Linked DNA regions of Mus musculus: regions 1, 2, 4 and 5 are each reported to be linked to region 3. Evidence: microRNA targets listed by miRTarBase, many of them from high-throughput screens and not tested one by one. Region 3 holds a microRNA gene; each other region holds the end of a gene's coding sequence.

Region 1 (3,538 bases), not on the chromosome of region 3:
CGTGCTCCACCGAGGCTGGCTGCTCTTTGAACAGATCAAGGTCCTCCATCCCTTAAGGTCTTCGGGCCCGTTGTCCCCTATTTGGAAGACTTCCCACTTAAACTGTCACCGGGCTGCCTCTCTTCAGGCAAAGGAGAAGATTTAATTGGGGCTGGCTTACAGGTCAGAGGCTCAGTCCATTATTTTCATGGTGGGAAACGAGGTGGCACACAGGCAAACGTGGTGTTGGAGAGGTAGCTGAGAGCTCTACCTCAGCAGCAGGCAGCAAGAAGAGAGAGACACTGGGCTTGGCGTGAACATCTGAAATCTCAAAGCCCACCCTAGTGACACAGGTCCTCCAATAAGGCCACACCCCCTCCCACCTCATAAGTGCCACTCCCTATGGGCCTATAGGGTCCATTTTCATTCAAACCACCACAGGTGCTTGTAAAAATCTTGTTCCTTTTGTCAATGATGAGGGAGCAGAGGACTCAGCTTTCTTGTGTGTTCTTGTTTCCCGTAGACAAAGCCTATTTCTGCCATGGCAAATTCTTCTGGCGTGTGAGTTTCCAAAATGAGGTGAACAAGGTGGACCATGAGGTGAACCAGGTGGACGACGTGGGCTACGTGACCTACGACCTCCTGCAGTGCCCTTGAACTAGGGCTCCTTCTTTGCTTCAACCGTGCAGTGCAAGTCTCTAGAGACCACCACCACCACCACCACACACAAACCCCATCCGAGGGAAAGGTGCTAGCTGGCCAGGTACAGACTGGTGATCTCTTCTAGAGACTGGGAAGGAGTGGAGGCAGGCAGGGCTCTCTCTGCCCACCGTCCTTTCTTGTTGGACTGTTTCTAATAAACACGGATCCCCAACCTTTTCCAGCTACTTTAGTCAATCAGCTTATCTGTAGTTGCAGATGCATCCGAGCAAGAAGACAACTTTGTAGGGTGGATTCTGACCTTTTATTTTTGTGTGGCGTCTGAGAATTGAATCAGCTGGCTTTTGTGACAGGCACTTCACCGGCTAAACCACCTCTCCCGACTCCAGCCCTTTTATTTATTATGTATGAGGTTATGTTCACATGCATGTATTTAACCCACAGAATGCTTACTGTGTGTCGGGCGCGGCTCCAACCGCTGCATAAATATTAAGGTATTCAGTTGCCCCTACTGGAAGGTATTATGTAACTATTTCTCTCTTACATTGGAGAACACCACCGAGCTATCCACTCATCAAACATTTATTGAGAGCATCCCTAGGGAGCCAGGCTCTCTACTGGGCGTTAGGGACAGAAATGTTGGTTCTTCCTTCAAGGATTGCTCAGAGATTCTCCGTGTCCTGTAAATCTGCTGAAACCAGACCCCAGACTCCTCTCTCTCCCGAGAGTCCAACTCACTCACTGTGGTTGCTGGCAGCTGCAGCATGCGTATACAGCATGTGTGCTAGAGAGGTAGAGGGGGTCTGTGCGTTATGGTTCAGGTCAGACTGTGTCCTCCAGGTGAGATGACCCCTCAGCTGGAACTGATCCAGGAAGGATAACCAAGTGTCTTCCTGGCAGTCTTTTTTAAATAAATGAATAAATGAATATTTACTTATTTATGTGTGTGTGTGTGTGCACATGTGTGCTGATGCCTCAGGAGGCCAGAAGAGGGCGCTGGATCCTTTGGAATTAGAGTTGTGGGCTGTAATGCACTGCCCCAGGCCAATGCTGGGGGCCAAATTCTGATCCCTACAACAGCAGCAAGGGCATTGAAGCTACCTCTCTAGCCAACCATCTCGCCAAACCAGCCTGAAAATGGACACACAGGATGGCGGTCATAGCATTCAAATCCTGAGAAGCTAGCTAGCAATGGGGACACGTGGGGACTTGTGCCCACTGAGGAGAGCCCAACCAGGGTGAGCATGAGGGTGTGTGCTCAGTGAAAGGCTGGAAAGAAGAGGGAGGCTGGGGTGATGTAACTGTGTTCCACCTGAGAAGTCCAAGCAGGAGTCTGGAGTAGCCCAGAGAAACCCCACTAACACCACCAAGCTTATTTGGGGTGCTCCTCTCCCTGCTGGACTCTGTATCTCAGGAATGAGCCACTCCCATCTACACACAAGCATTCCTTAACACGCCTTGTTTAAAACCTCTCTCTGTCCTGACTTGTGGGCCTGTGTCCCGGAGGCTTTCTACGGAGATCTCTGGCCCAGCCTGGTGCGAGAGTTCTGGTGAAGGGAAGCGAGTGTGGGCAGGGAGAGGAGGTCACTTCAGCTGCTTCTGCTGCTGCAGTTGGCTCCACCTCCATCTCTGCTGTGCCTGCCAGATTGCTCAGTTACTCTGCACAGTCCTGCACTGAGTAGGGTCTGGCTGGGCTAATGAGAGACGGACTAGCTAGTGAGGAGTGCGGAGCTTCAGGCAGCATTTTGGGAGAGCAGACCTCTTCCCAAGTGTTACAGCTCTTAGGACAGAAGGCTCAGAGGATGGAGTAGTTCTCGCACACACCTCTGATCCTTCCAGATAGGATTCTTATATACAGTTTTGGGGGTGGGTAAGGGTCTGACAACAGGTACTTCTCATTGGTTTGGTCTGAGAGCTTTGGGGAAACCTTATTTGCATGGGGGAGGGCTTGGTGCTGCTCCTCCGTGACTGATGGCCACATAACTCTTTGTGTGTGTTGGGGGGCAGGCTGTGGGAGGCTGTAGCTACATGACAGGAGCCAGGGACCTGGGAGGCGGGACCAAACACTTCCCATCCCATGCAGGTGGAAATCACCACCCACTGGGTCACTGGGGACCAGGCTGTCTGTGCACAGCCCTCTGCCCCACACTGACTCCCCCGGGGTTACTATCCTGCTTCTCTGGTCCCAGGCCCACGCCCAGTAGAACTTACCCATAGGTGAATCTCACTCCCCTCTCAGCTTCCTTGTTGCTGGCTGTAAACAACGCTCACCACAGGCTCCTGCCTCACAAGGCCACTGGCTCCCGTGTGGCTCCCGTGTGGCTCCCGTGTGGCTCCCGTGCGGCTCCCGTGTGGCTCCCGTGTGGCTCCTGTGCGACTCCCGGTCAGCACAGTGAACACTGTCCCTTCACACACACATGCATGGGACAGTCCACCTTGCTTTCTCCCCAGAAATACTTTGCATACCTCCTGGTTCTTTTCTTCCTCTCTGTAGCCTCTCGTGGGAGCGCACCCTAAGGTTCAATTCTCAGAGTCCTCTTGGGACACTTGTTCCCCTGATCTCACCAAGCAACCTACTCTGAACAGCAAGCATCTCCAGGCAAAAGACTCCAGACTGACATTTCCCAGCTGAGCCTCTCCCCAGAGCCCTAGACTCAGGTTCCTCTGCCTGCTCTTTGTGACCTAATAGGCTTTCCGTCTAAACAGACCGAACTCTCTCCTCTTCCAGCTGTCACCATGCTGTGTGACTGTGGATGCACACATTCATACACAGAGGATGACAGCTCTTAGGAGTTCTTTCTTTCCACAGTGACTACCCAGCAAACACTTTCATATGCTAAACCATCTCATTGCCAGCCCCCACTGTTTAAATACTTCTGGAAGGTGTGTTGTACCTCTT
Region 2 (3,481 bases), not on the chromosome of region 3:
TCTCCCCTCTCTGTCAAGAGCAAAGAAATCCGCTAACACCAAACACCAGCCTCTCCATCCAGTCACAAATAGCTGAGGATTTTCAGGGACCCAACAACGGGAAGCTCTTGGTTAGTGATCAGAAACAGAGATGTTGATGTCCATATCCTATCCTTCCCCAAAGGCTAACACCAGCTCCCCGCCCTAACTGTCCTACGTCAACTGCCAGGAGGTCAGTTAGAGCCTCACCTGAGTTCTTGGCCGAAACATCCATTTTCTTTGTCCCTAACTCTTCTAAGCCTTCAAGACCACATTTTGGTTCCCATTGCTCCCTCTCTTCTTTCCCCGCGATACCCTGGGGCTCCTGCAGACTGCAGACCTCAGCCTGCCAGCCTGAAACTCCACACTGCACCGCTGGGCAGCAGCTGGTTGGCTGGAGAGTGGCAAGAACACTGGTAGACGACTCCTCAGAGGGAACTCATGCCCTTCCTCTCTGTCATTAGCCCACCTCTATCTAACACAGCCTGGCCTGCTCGGTCCCTTGTACACACACAGTTCTCTCCAAAGGATCAGAGCTACCGCAGACACCAAGAAGTCAATTCTATCCTGTCTGCCAAAGCACAAGGGACCCCCTGGGCAGCAAGTGTTCTTAGGAAAACAGGCTCTCCAAGCACACACATGGCTGCCCTCCTCAATCCCTAGCGTTTCCTCTTCACACACATACCCACTATCTTCTTTCTTCTCTACATTTTGTTCTTGCTCCCTGTGAATTACCCCTCCATTTCCCACCTCCCAGGTTTCTTCATCTGCTGCCCATCCATGGAAAACCCATTCTAGTTCTTCACTTCTCCATCGTTGTGTGTGCCTCTCCAGATCTCTCTCTCTCTCTCTCTCTCTCTCTCTCTCTCTCTCTCTCTCTCTCTCTCTCTCTCTCTCTCCATTCTCTCCATTCCTCCCTTTCCATGCCTGTCGCCTGTCTCCTGCCTCATCTTTACTTCGCCGGCTTTGCTCCTGCCCGCTTCTCAGTCAGTCACCCACTCCTGCCCCTCTCGCCACTACCTGGACCCTCCCCTCTGGTTTGAAGCTGAGGATCTGACTTCCTGCTCCCTTCTCCTTCTGACAAGGCTCCCCCACCCTCCCTGTCCATTCCCAGTCTCCTGGCTACCTGCTGAAGATGACTCCAGCACTCTGGCTCCAGGGAGGGACCAGGTTGGGACAAGAGCTGGGGAAGACAAGGGCAGTGGCCAAAGCTCAGGAGGAGGTGTCTACCCTGGAGGAGAGAGGAGAAAATGTGGAGATGGGATCTGGAACGTTCCAAGTGTCAGGAATTCTGCCAGGAACCAGCATCAGATTCCAGGTAGGGTCCTGCTGGGGCAGCCTTGGGTCATGGGCCTGGCTCAGGAATCCTAACTCAGCTCCAAGTCCTCTGAAAATGAACACAAGGACAGCAAACTCATAGACTAGCCGTTCTTCCTCTCTGGCTGAGGCCAATGTAACACAGGGAAGTGAGACGCCTCCTGGACAGCCTATAGGAGGCACACATTCCTCGACACAAGGACCAGGCAGCAGGCCGTGTCCTCGGAGACATTATGTTTGATGACGTTCGTCTGCCACCCCTCCACTGGAAACTGGAGGCTTTTCTATGATTAGATGGCTCTGCCACCAGATCCATAAGGTAGCCAAAGATGGTCAAAAACTACAACAAAATAAAAAACAAAACAACAACAACAACAACAACAAAAAACCACCTGGAATCTCCCTCGTTTTTCTCTCTGCTAAGGGGGAGGGAGGGGCCCCCCACTGCAGGAGAAGAGAGATCTTCTCATCTGCCCTTTCCTAACACACGCACACACACACACACACACACACACACACACACGCACACACAAACACACACATACATACATACATGCACACACATACACACGCACACACACACACACACACACATACACACATACACACACGCACACACACACAAACACACACATACACACATACACGCACACACATACTCACGCATACACACGCATACACACACATACACACACATACACGCACACACTCATGCACACACACCTACCTCAGCTCCAAGCACTGCCCATGAGGTTGCAGACCCTGGGCTTATCGCAAGGCGAGAAGTGGGCAAAGAGGAGAAAGAGGCAGGGACAGGGTAACAGGGCCTGGGGTGGGGACAAGGGTACCCTGTTCAGAGGTGACCTGCAAGTTCAAGTTAGGCAGAAAAGTATCAAAGACGCAAGACAGTCTCTGCCCTTGGCAGATGTCCAGGGTGTAGGAAGCATGAGAAGGAGAGGGGTAACCCCTAAGTCCCCACCTCTGTGCCCCCTCTCCACAGCCACCAACCCTGACAATGGGCCTGAGAAGTCTATGCTGTACAAAACAGGCCAGGCTCGAGGGGCCAGTCACCAGTGAGATATCCCAGTAGGGAAGAGGCCAGGCCAGCCTCAGGCTGGAACTAGCTTCCTCCTCCCACAGCCTCCAGAGCCCGTGTCTCCCCCTCAGACTCTGAGGTGATGAAGGACTACCAGCAGCAGGAAGGAAGACCCTATCCTTTCCCCCTCAGCACGGCTCAGATTCTTTTGAGAGCTGGGTGCAGGCTTGAATGAGGGAGGCAGAGGAGGCCCCGTTGGGGGGCTGGTGGCACCTGGAGCTTTGTGGCAGATGTGGTGGGACCATCATCAGCGAATAAAAATAAAGTAGGAAAGAGTCTGGCCCTCCTGGGGCAGTGTGTTGAGTAAGTCTCTTTAGGCGATCAGGACCGGCAGGCAAGGACGCAGCAGGCAGCCCTGCACACTGAAGGGGTCCAAGGAGATTGCGCGGCAGAGCGTCCTTTCCCTGGGGATCCCCAGGGACCTCCAGCTAGTCTACACAGGAGAGAAGGAAACCGAGGGACCAAAGAGGGAGGCCCAGGCTCCACTAGGTCCAATGGAGGCGGGGCCAGACTCAGGATCTCAAGGGCTCTGCCTTCTTGCCAGGCTGCCACCTAGCCCCTGCCTCTCTTCAGAGCCCGGAGGAGGTCCGTGTGCAGCCAGTTCAAGATTTGGGTCTGGAGCTTGAACGCAGGAATGAGAGGGCAGCAGACGGGATATGCTGAGGTCAGGCCAACTCCTGGGCTATAAAATCCCGGCTTTCAGGGTCCCTGTGTGTGAGCAACAGGGCATGGTAGGACTCCCCAGCCAGACACATCACCTCCTGGCCGCAGCACGGAACTTACTGTAGTGCCCACGAAATCTGTGGGAGGAAGGGAGGGGAGGGGAGAAAGAGAGAGGGGGAAGGGGAGGGAGAGGAAGAGGGAGAATGTTAGAGCCTGTGAGGTCCCAGCTGCCCCCTCAGCCACTCCCCAAGACACAAATGGCCAGAAGTGACTAGAACCAAGTCCTTGAATGACAGGTCAGCCTTAAGCACACCATGTAACCCATTAGCTGTCATGTGTGAAATAAAGACCCTCTCCCACTCCACAGGGCCATTCTGAAAGGTCATA
Region 3 (3,538 bases):
GTAACAAAGCCAGATTTATTCAACTTTATTATTTATTTGTTTATTGCTCAGTTCCTTACCCCAATACAAGAAATATTGGGGCTTGTATGGTTGCTACCTATTAGAAGCTTTGCTTACAGTATTTAGCAAGTGGTCTGATTGCCACACACAGAGTATATTCTTATGAGCTTAATTGTCCTCAGAAGTAAACTAATTATGGACACTCTGGGAAATCTACTGTCACTACTCTTGGATTGTTACTTTATGAACAATAGAGAAGCCAAAGAAAGTGACCCCATGTACTGCAGGATGCTGCATGTCCGGTGCTTTGAGGGCTAGTCCTCCATGGTTCTCTCAACGCACTCACTGTTTCAACAACGAACCTTTATCATCTCATAGGCCTGAGGAAGGGCTCAGTGGTGACCCATGAAAACGGGCATAATGCTTCTCACCAGCCATCTGCCCTTGCTCAGTCTGTGGTCCCAACAAATGCCACTAACTGGGGCTTCTCTAGAAATCTAGCTCAGTCCTAAAAAGCTGGGGTCATAAGTTTCACCATGAGGGTCTGCAGTTCGACTAAATTCTGTTCTGATGCTGCAAAGACCACCAGGAAGGCAAGTGCAGACTCGTTTCCTTTGGCTCAGATTGAGTAGCAGGTGTTTTTTGCACCAGCTAGACAAAAGCTGGCTTGGTTCCCCAGTGAGCAGCTCCCAGACAGGGTCTTACCTGTGAATGTCTTTCCCGTGAGGGAGGCAGCAAAACCAGCTAGAGGGGAAATCTAACACACTGCAATAGCTTTGATGACTGTTAAAGAAAAAGAGAGGGAGTGTTGGGGAGACAGATACCCCTCTGGCTAGCCAATGAGCGAGCGAGAAAAGAGCAGAATGAAAATCTTAAGTAAATATCATTGTTATTGTTTAGTAGCAAATCAAATAGGTTATCGTGTAACCAGCTAGTATTTTAATTCACACGTAGCTAGTCATTTAACAATGAAAGGTATGTGTTTCAAACAAACAAAGAAACAAACAAAAGTCGCAGAAACGTTTCTAAAAAGAAGACAGGCATGAAGTTGGTTCTTGTTGTCCTGGAAGACACCAAGCTGAAAGAATTGTAGTTATTCTATGTAACAGGCCAGCAAGCACGGCTTCTGGGTTTTACCAGTGCTAAGCACTGGAACAAGCACTCAGTCCCTTCATCTCCCATATCTGTCTTAGATTAAAACATAATAAAATATGTTTCCTTCAAGAGAAGGGATGTTGATCTTATGAATCTGCTTGTGTTTGGTTTTGAGAAGTCTGTGTGATTCTTTGCACAGCTCTATGTGTGCAGTATGGGTTCAGTCACACACAGAGACTTATACAAATTGGGTGGTCCATCTGCTTTAATAAAATGTGTATCCGACCATTGGGTTGTAGAAATTTCAAAGCTTTTGTTTTTTGACAGGATGCCTGCCGTTTTTCTCTCTTGACTCCCGCTTGTTTTATTCATTTTGGGGTAGTTGCCAATTAGACCCAATTGGTAAGTATAATTAACAAAAATCTTGAATTTCCTCTTAAACCCCAACCAAGAAAATTAACCATAGATGCTATAATTTCCTTTAAAAAATTCCTAACCACATCACTCTTCTGACTGCTGCTTATCTCTTCTGAGACATCCATTCCCATCAGACTTTATTGATTCCTTTTTACCTGTTACCCTGGAGATGCCACCTAGGACAGGATAGCAGCATCCTAAATATGACTAGAAGAAAGGAGGATTTATTCAAGTTCCAGATACTATGTAAGGTATCACCATATAAACTGTCTCTTTTAATACTTGACAAATTCATTCAAGGTAGAAATTGCATAGCTTTATTGTAGTTATAAAATGATATCTCAGATAAGTTATGCCTTTAATATTATGTCCACCTACTTAGGCACCTGAGTACATACCTAGTCAGATGTAACTCCCAAACCTTTACTACCCCTTCCATCCACGTACAAAGCATTAGCTCCCTTAAGAGAAGACTCGCTAAAACTTGGCTACCTTTGAAAGCTTATGGGCATTGCTTCATTCAGCACCTAGTTGAGGACTCACTCTGTTCAGGACTTGGCTAAGCATTGCTTTGAACAAAATATCAAACAAGGACTCAAGGGGCAGAGAATGCTGGTCAGTGGCTAAGATGCCGGAGAATCAAGATGAGCAGGAAATGAAGAGGTTGGCTAAGAGGGGCAGAGGAGGCAGGCGGAGGAGCTCCTGACCGTGTACCATGGCTACAGTCCTTCTTCATGTGACTCGTGGACTTCCCTTTGTCATCCTATGCCTGAGAATATATGAAGGAGGCTGGGAAGGCAAAGGGACGTTCAATTGTCATCACTGGCATCTTTTTTGATCATTACACCATCATCAAAAGCATTTGGATAACCATAACATGAAAATTACCATCATTGAGCCCATAACTTTCCTAAGACAAGGGTGACAATTTGAAACATCAAAGAACCTTACCCAGGGAATTCAAGAAGTGAGAAGAGTGAATCAGATTCTCCCAGATTAACAACCCCATGTTCAAATTCTAACTGGTAAAGGAAACTGAGCTTCCTCTGAACAGGTTGTAATGTATATCAAGAACATCCTACTACCTTCTGTGGATGCTCTAAACTGTTTAGCCCAATCATACAGACATTCTTCTGTCTCAACCAAAGACCAACACTGAGTGCAATCATAAATACCAAAGTCATGGGCAGTTACTGGGGTATGTGATGACTATGTCATTTTTCAAATGCTCTCAACTGCATTGAATAACTGTTCAAATTATTCAAATTTTCCTCTGTCTTTTAGATGGCCTTCCATCTAAAGCAGCAGCTCTCAACCTGTGTGTCATGACCCCTTTGGCTAATGTTGTCTCCAAAAATATTTACATTATGATTAATAGCAGAAGTAAAATTACAGTTATGAAGTAACAATGAAAATAATTTTATAGTTGGGGGTCACCACAACATGAGGAACTGAATTAAAGGGTCACAGCATTAGGAAGGTTGAGAACCACTGCTCTAAAGAAAGATTTGTATTGAAAAAAATCTTAGCTCTCTATTTGGTGAAATGACTTGGCACAAGTTGTTTGTGTGTGTGTAAAACATTAGCCATCCTTGTTAATTAAAACACACTTTGAAAATCAAGACAATGAAGTCAAAACAACTTTGGGGAATAGAAGAAAATTTAAGGAAAATGGTTTCTTGGTGTTGGCCTGTCTTGTTCATCCAACCCTTGTCCAATCAAGCCAGGATCCCTCTCTTTTTGAGAAAAGGACCTTTTCACTTTGGAATTACTTATTCAGGGATGGGGCAGTTCTTTTAAGCAAGTCTGACTAGGTCATCTGCCTGGCATTCAAATATGATCTCCTAGATACTGCTCCATGGAGTTAAGAACTGTGAAAATTCTTTGCAGATTAGAAAGACTTAGGTTGGAAATAATTTAGACTTTTGTCCTCAAGATCAGTAAAACGTCCTGCTGGTGGTCCGTTAAAGTAGATTCTTTTCAGGGTAACAGGACTTTTCCAGTGGGACTTGGTTCCCTTCTTGTT
Region 4 (3,538 bases), not on the chromosome of region 3:
ACCCTCAAACCTCTGAACATCACAAGGTCATTCTCAATCCTAGTTTCAAAGTAAAGGGGGGAGGGAGACCAGCAATGTGAAGAACACAAAACAGAAACAAATAAGACACACCACGTTGTCATTTTTAATGTTTGAGAATTTTGTTGTGCATATTAGTTTACAAGTTCTCCATACTCTTAAAAGTTGTTTTCAAGCCAGGATGTGGTGGCACATGCCTTTAATTCCAGTACTTGGGAGGCAGAGGCAGGCAGATTTCTGAGTTCAAGGCCAGCCTGGTCTACAAAGTGAGTTCCAGGACAGCCAGGGCTACACAGAGAAACCCTGTCTTGAAAAACCAAAAAAAAAAAAAAAAAAAACACCAAAAAAAAAAAACACCAAAACCAAAAAACAAACAAAAAAACAAACAAACAAACAAACAAACACGTTGTTTTCATAACTTTTCAACACCAGACTCAACAAGAAGGCCTTTAAGCTCTGCTAGTCTCCCCATTCTTCCTCGGACAGTGAGCACGTCCTCTACTCTCTTCCGTGTATTTTGTCCCTTGACCTGGGCTCTTGCTATTCAGGATGACTGTGCCCCAGCCTCCCCAGATGTTGGAACTGCACATGTAAGCTAACATGTCTGGAAAAGCATTGTTTCTTTCAACTGACATCCATGAAAAGACCTTAAATTCTTTTTTTTTTAATTTAATTTAATTTTAGTTTTTAAAGATTTATTTATTATTATATGTAAGTACACTGTAGCTGTCTTCAGACACACCAGAAGAGGGAGTCAGATCTTGTTACGGATGGTTGTGAGCCACCATGTGGTTGCTGGGATTTGAACTCTGGACCTTCGGAAGAGCAGTCGGGTGCTCCTAACCACTGAGCCATCTCACCAGCCCCCTTAAATTCTTTATTGAGAACTTATTCTTTATTTCTACTAAATATTTTAAACAAAAGTTAAAGGCAGAAAACATGTCAGACTTGAAGGTATATATATTTCATTATTTTTCCTTTGTTTTCTGCCATAAAATTCCAAGTCACTTTTGACATTTCCTGTTCTTCTCATATCCCATAACTTTATATTCGAATTACCACACAACGATATGTCTGCCTCTGTTCTTTGGTTATCCACATACGTGACACCTAATAAAATGTCTCTTACAGCCATTTGTTGCTGATACTTTGTTCGGGGAGACAAGCTGTGGCTCAGGCTACCGTGGAACTTGCTCTGTAGCTCAGGCTAATTTCAAAGTTACCATCCCGATTCTCTTGTCTCCTCCTTAAGTCCTGAGATTATAGGTAGAGGCCACCAATACTGGCCCCCATATTTATTTGTAATCCATAGTGGTTATCTACCAGTAACAACTGAATCTTTATTACAGAGAATTTGACACTCAATGTTATTGAGTGTCCTTAGAGATAAATATATCAATAATTTACAGCTAGCTGATAAATGCGCCACAAGATTGTTCCCTTTAATTTTATATTACTTCAAAATATACATATATACACTCACTGCACATATACTAAATTTAAATTACCCTGTGAAAATATAGATTAACTACAAGCACACATTCAGGGATTCACAGTTTGACAGTAATTTTATATGCAGGTAAAAAGGAGTGTGGTTTTACACCCCTAATTTACATAGCAAGCTGACATGTTTGAATATCCTTTGTAAAAGATTTTTTTTTCCGCATGAATCTTAGAAATGAGGAAATTGGAGACATAAACCCCAAGCTATGTCTATAGCAGTATAAGTCATTGTAATATTATCTTTACTAACAAAGGCCCCAACTCGCTTACTGTGTGCACAGAAAGTGGTATAAAAACGCTACATACAAACCACACAGCAACAAACTTACACAAGATTGGCACTGTCAGTGTTTCACTTTACAGATTTTGACCAAAGCCTCAGAATATTCTTCTCTGGAGCTTACCGAACAGTTACCAATATATAGCATATTTAACTCCACAAAAATAGAAATGGATGGGGAAGTGCTAAAAATATTTAAAATACACAAGAGAGCTATTTATAAATATGTATACACTTTAGCCATGTATTTTGCAGGGTTAAATTTACTAATAAGTGATCCAGAGTACACTATTCAGTCATAGAGAACCTAGGCTTTATTATAACTCCTAGGTACATTTATTAAAATGTACCTTGTATCCCTTTATCTCTTATATCCCTTGTATCCCTCCCTTGGAATGCCCCCATCTCCTAGGTATATGTTCTCACTCTTCTTGGGAAAAAATATGCTTGTTCTGCTTTAAAAAAAAAAAAATTAAAAGGTACTCAGGAAGCTGACGTTAGGAAGACCATTTGAACCCAGGAGTTCAAGGTCAGCCAGTGAAAACCTGCTTTCTACAGAGAAAGGAAAAAGGAACACTTGCAAATAACACATTGACCAGCTATCAAAATTCAAAAAAAAAAATACCTGTCCAACTGAATAAAGAACAAACTTACTAAAAAGAAACTAAATCTGCCTCTTAGTCTTAAAAACTTAGAAAGCCCCAGATTCAATCTCTAGCCTTACAAAGGAAACACAGATTCATCACTCATCAAATGGACCAAAACCGCTTCTTCTCCCATTCAGCTCAGAGATGCACAGCGGCTTCACAGCTGTGTTATGATGCTTACACTGAGCATGTGCAGTTGACCATAATGATGATGAGGATTTATGAAAATACTACTGGGTATGTGGCTGGTAAGCTTATACTGTTAGGATCGATCAGTCACAATGACACACGGGTACAGGTGGCCTTCTGTGTGTTACCAGTTTCTTGATAAGCCCACTGACACTGCTGCATAGGAACTCCGAGTCTGAGCTGTCGATCAGGCCCATCTCCCACTGGAGGCAAAGCTTCTGCTGAATGAGAAGGTAATTTCAGAGTTCTTGTATTTTCCCCAAGCACCAAAGGGCACCACTACTGCAGTGCTGTTGTCTTCGGTACCGTACTGTATTGCCTGCAGGAGTGGGGAAGAAGAGACAGGCGCTGGAGTCAAGGGACCTTGTGCAATCACACAGCATCCTTTCTCTGGAAGGCCAACTGGTTCTACACACACTTTACGATACAAATGTAACTACCTAACAAGGTTTGGAATGGTTTCACCCTGTAACCATGTGCCATATGGTTATTAAGTGCATATGAATTTCAGATGGTTCAACTATATCCTATGCTCCACTGTAGCAATCTTGGCAATAGAAATTACCTGTGCTCCCAGTGAGGACACACCCAAAGCCCTTAGCATGGTACCAATTATGGGCAAGCCTTAATAAATGCTGATTCTTACCAATGAAACTGCTGGTAGGAGTATAGCCCAAGAAATGGAAGAGATTGGGTGAGGGATAAAAAGGAACAAAATATAGGAACATCTTTGTATGAAAGTGCGGCTAGAAACCTACCACTGTATAAGCTACCTTAACATTTAAAACCTCAGAAATGGGTATGTACAAGGTTATAACAAAAATGTTTTTAATATTCCTTCTTCAATGGGAAAGTGGAAATAAATGAAATTGCCTGCAGCAGGATTATAAATCACTTTTAG
Region 5 (3,538 bases), not on the chromosome of region 3:
GCAAGAACACGGGATACTTCTATCTTAGTGGCAGTCAATAAGAAGTAAACATCTGTGCTGTAGCCATATAAAACCTATGCACCCACCTTTTCTACCAGGTTGGTTGCATTAAGGACATTCAGAGAATCACAACAGACAGTTGTTCTGACTGGGTAGCATTTAATATGATCAGGTCTTAAATAAGAAGCCATGAACACAAACATTCAAAACCAAATACATAATAAATAATCATTAAGTTATAAAGTACATCATTCATATTAAAACTAAATTCTCAGGTGTGACTGTAAATAAAACAGAGCAATAACATAGATCAATAATGCTATGAATTTATTCACAAAGAAAACACTTTCAGCTACAGTATTAACGGCCATAACTGATTTCCTCTGAACTCCTATGACCTACAACAACCTCTCTCTCTTTCTCTCTCTCTCTCTCTCTCTCTCTCTATATATATATATATATACATATATATATATATATATATGTATATATATATATATATATGTATGTATGTATGTATGTATGTATGTATATCCCTTCCCTTTTTGAACAACTAAATATCACACTTGGGATAAAATTTAACTCAAAAGTGTGGTCAGGTGTTCCTGTAAGAGTACTCAAAACATTAAAACTCAGACATACGAAGTTCAGAATAAAATACAGAATAGACTTAGGAAAGCCCCACATTCTTGTTCTACAGATAAGAGAATGAAAACCAAAAAAAGCTTACACCAGTGGCAACCTTCATGGACACACAACAGTGTGTCAGGTCCAATGTGTTCCCACCCACAGTGAACAATAATGTCAAAGGACTGGCTGAGTCTTGAGCACAGAGAGGTTCAAGACTGCTGTGCAATTTTGTCTAGTTTACTCTAAAGCGTAGCTTTCCCATGGCTAGTGGAGAAGCCTTCACTGGCTTTTCCAAACGATACAAGCTCTTAGCCTGTGCTGCATTGAATTATTTGTACTTCTTGATTAGAAATTGTCAGTGATTTAAAAGGCTAGAACAATAAACACACCAAAATAAATACATTGTCTTAAATATAAAAATCACAATGTCAAGAAGTCAACAGTTACACAGCCAGAAACAACAAAAGAATAAAACATGGAGACTCCCCTCTCTGTCCATCATTGCTTTGTGAAGGACTGCATCTCTGCTTCAGCTTTCGAGCAGCAAACTCAGCAACCAATGCTAGCACCATTGGACACTTACGTGGGCTATGTGTGTATAATGTCATCAACAGTCACACATTTACAGTTACACAAGTTCTTTGCAATACATATTTTTAAAGTTTAAGAGAATGCGTTGGTTCTGATTGTGACACTTTTCTGGGAATCAGTTAACACTAGTCTGTGCTATCTTAGGGCGGTACACGGGATCTCTGCTTGTTTTAAAGGCACTGTGAGGTACAGACACCTTTTTCCTTAGATCAAAACCATCCCCCAGGCCATGCTTGGATCTCAGATCCATTTTAACCATAAGAAATTCTCAAAGCGATGATACCACTCCAGGGAAAATAGCTTTGTAGACTTTTTAACTTGACATTGAAACATACTGTTGGAAATTATATCAAATGGCAAAACTATTTGCTCAATTTAGCCTCTGTGGTTAAAAGATTGGGATGTTCAGTAAAAGTCTGTTTAAAACTGGAACAGAACCTCTGGTCTCTTGGCTCATCTCCTGATTTTGATTTTAAATAGATGGTTGGATTTAACTTATCAAAAGTGTGCATGCAATGTGTCTTAAGTGCTGAACTTGTTTGGATTGCTTTTTCTTAGAAGTTTCAAAGAGGAAAGAAAGGAAAGGATGTGGGAGAGGAGACTGAGGCTGGAGCTAGCAGATTCATCACAGGACACCCATAACCACTTGAGGTGAGAGCTACAAACTTGAAAATTCTACTTGGCTCCAGAAGATAGTGAGGTTTGCACTTCCACAGGCTTTCATTGCCATCTTCACAAGATTAAACTATTAGCTTATAAAGGAACTTGACATTGGGAGGAAGGCAACTTAAGCCTGCTTCTTACTACACCCTTGCCTCTTTAGAAAAACAGTGAAAGCCAGGGGTGACCCTCATAATAGGTTAAATTTTGATAGACCTAATAGAGAAGAAAAACTGTACCTATCTGGAAAGCCTCTCTTGTAGAGTATAAAGATGTTAGTTATCAATATGCTAGATGTTTGTGGTAATGAGTAAACTCTTCAGACATGCTTTCAAGTACAAAGTTTTTCTTAAAGAATAAAGACTTCAATTTTCAATTTCATCTTATGCTTATTATTTCCAGCTTACATCATTCCGTTAGGATCATAAGAGGTCTTACTCTCGCAGATCGACAAATTCCCTAGCTGTATTTTTGCTAAAAGCTTTAGTTTTCCCCTTCCAATCAAAGAATGTCACAGTTGGGCAATAAGATGAAGCCACAGCTTGAGAAGCACCAGAAATCCCTGACACGGGAAGCTGGGCTCTTGTTGAGTTGAGATTTTCCATGTTGACAGCATGGAGTCTGTGCAGGGAACCACAATGTCTGCTTAGTTAATGGGCGAAAGGATCTTAACCTATAGCTTTTCTGAGTTGTTCTTATCATAACGTATCGTACTTCTCCACTTGCAATCCCAAGAGGCAAGATGTACTCCTGCATTCGTGAGCGTCTATAGTGTCCGGCGTCTCCTCAGTCCTCGGGAATCTTCTCGGATCCTCAGGAATCTTCGGGTCCTATGTGTTCTAGGAGAGATGCTGATGAATCATCTGTGGGAACGAGAGCCTATGAGTCACTGGGCACAGGAGGTACCCGGACACAACATGGAAGTGAAAGAAATGCATTTAAGGTGCATACCTTTTGAAGGAGCCATTTTAGTCTTTCTAGGAATTCTTTGGGTGTCCTTTTCTCATACGAATCACAGGAAGGGCATTTCTGTAAATCAAAATTAATCAATTAATTAATTAATTAATTTTAAAACTTTAAAAATTATTTTTTAAGAACTAACTTCATACTTCATAAAATACTTATGTAAAATTCATTTCTTCTCTTGTGAACATAAATCATATTCAGTAACAAGCATTAGGAAAATTCTGTAAAATTGTTCTGGAAACCACGTGTGATTTTATCCTCAGAGACAACTCTGAATATTTTGGTGTTTAAATTATTATATCCGTTTTTTGTCCCCTTTCTTCCTCTTCCTCTTCCTCGCCCTCCTCCTCCTCTGCATTCTTGTTACCCTGGTTGTTATATGCTGTTTGCTGTTAGTTTTTAACCAATTACAAGGGTTTCCTGGGCTTTAGATATGCTTTCAGGGCAGGATTTGTGGTGGCTGCTCTGTCGCTCCCCCTCCCACCCACCCCCACCCTGCACAGATGGAGCACTTACTATTTTTAGATACAGAAGTGGTATCTAGCTTTTATGTACAAGTCTATAGAGATCACCTGGGCAGATAATTTTTTCATATATATCAAATTTCTAGATCTTATCAAGTAGATTAAAGGGATAAATACCTCAAGGACTATATATCATAAAACATGTTTCCTCTTTGTGCTTCGACGAG

Evidence for each region. The annotated mature microRNA mmu-miR-204-5p reads UUCCCUUUGUCAUCCUAUGCCU and lies in region 3 at 2,262-2,283, shown strand. An mRNA with a match to its seed (bases 2 to 7 or 8) in the 3' UTR can be bound and repressed. Matches are read on the target gene's strand: a 7mer-m8 pairs with bases 2 to 8, a 7mer-A1 pairs with bases 2 to 7 and ends in A, and an 8mer does both.
Region 1: miRTarBase lists Mmp9 as a target of mmu-miR-204-5p. The part of its 3' UTR that is shown has no 7-base or 8-base seed match.
Region 2: miRTarBase lists Lhfpl4 as a target of mmu-miR-204-5p. Seed matches in the 3' UTR shown: 7mer-m8 at 933-939.
Region 4: miRTarBase lists Ppm1k as a target of mmu-miR-204-5p. Seed matches in the 3' UTR shown: 7mer-m8 at 2,158-2,164 and 8mer at 1,455-1,462.
Region 5: miRTarBase lists Il21 as a target of mmu-miR-204-5p. Seed matches in the 3' UTR shown: 8mer at 538-545.

What each region holds. Positions count from the first base shown.
Region 1 is chr2:164,954,271-164,957,808 of GRCm38, forward strand. It overlaps Mmp9 (matrix metallopeptidase 9), which reads left to right. Exons shown (of 13, transcript NM_013599.4): 13 at 503-1,580. The coding sequence ends at 636. Among named protein-coding and RNA genes, the nearest start is that of Mmp9, 7.8 kb to the left of the region's middle.
Region 2 is chr6:113,168,728-113,172,208 of GRCm38, forward strand. It overlaps Lhfpl4 (lipoma HMGIC fusion partner-like protein 4), which reads right to left. Exons shown (of 4, transcript NM_177763.3): 4 at 1-3,231. The coding sequence ends at 3,131. Among named protein-coding and RNA genes, the nearest start is that of Lhfpl4, 25 kb to the right of the region's middle.
Region 3 is chr19:22,748,349-22,751,886 of GRCm38, forward strand. It overlaps Mir204 (microRNA 204), which reads left to right and starts at 2,257; the gene lies at 2,257-2,324. The region is part of intron 6 of Trpm3 (transient receptor potential cation channel, subfamily M, member 3); the gene reads left to right.
Region 4 is chr6:57,507,894-57,511,431 of GRCm38, forward strand. Ppm1k (protein phosphatase 1K (PP2C domain containing)) reads right to left here. Exons shown (of 7, transcript NM_175523.5): 7 at 1-2,956. The coding sequence ends at 2,825. Among named protein-coding and RNA genes, the nearest start is that of Ppm1k, 26 kb to the right of the region's middle.
Region 5 is chr3:37,222,617-37,226,154 of GRCm38, forward strand. It overlaps Il21 (interleukin 21), which reads right to left. Exons shown (of 5, transcript NM_021782.3): 4 at 2,833-2,910; 5 at 143-2,744. The coding sequence ends at 2,721. Gm36168 (a long non-coding RNA gene) reads left to right here and starts at 1,781. Exons shown (of 4, transcript XR_389693.2): 1 at 1,781-1,872; 2 at 2,617-2,824.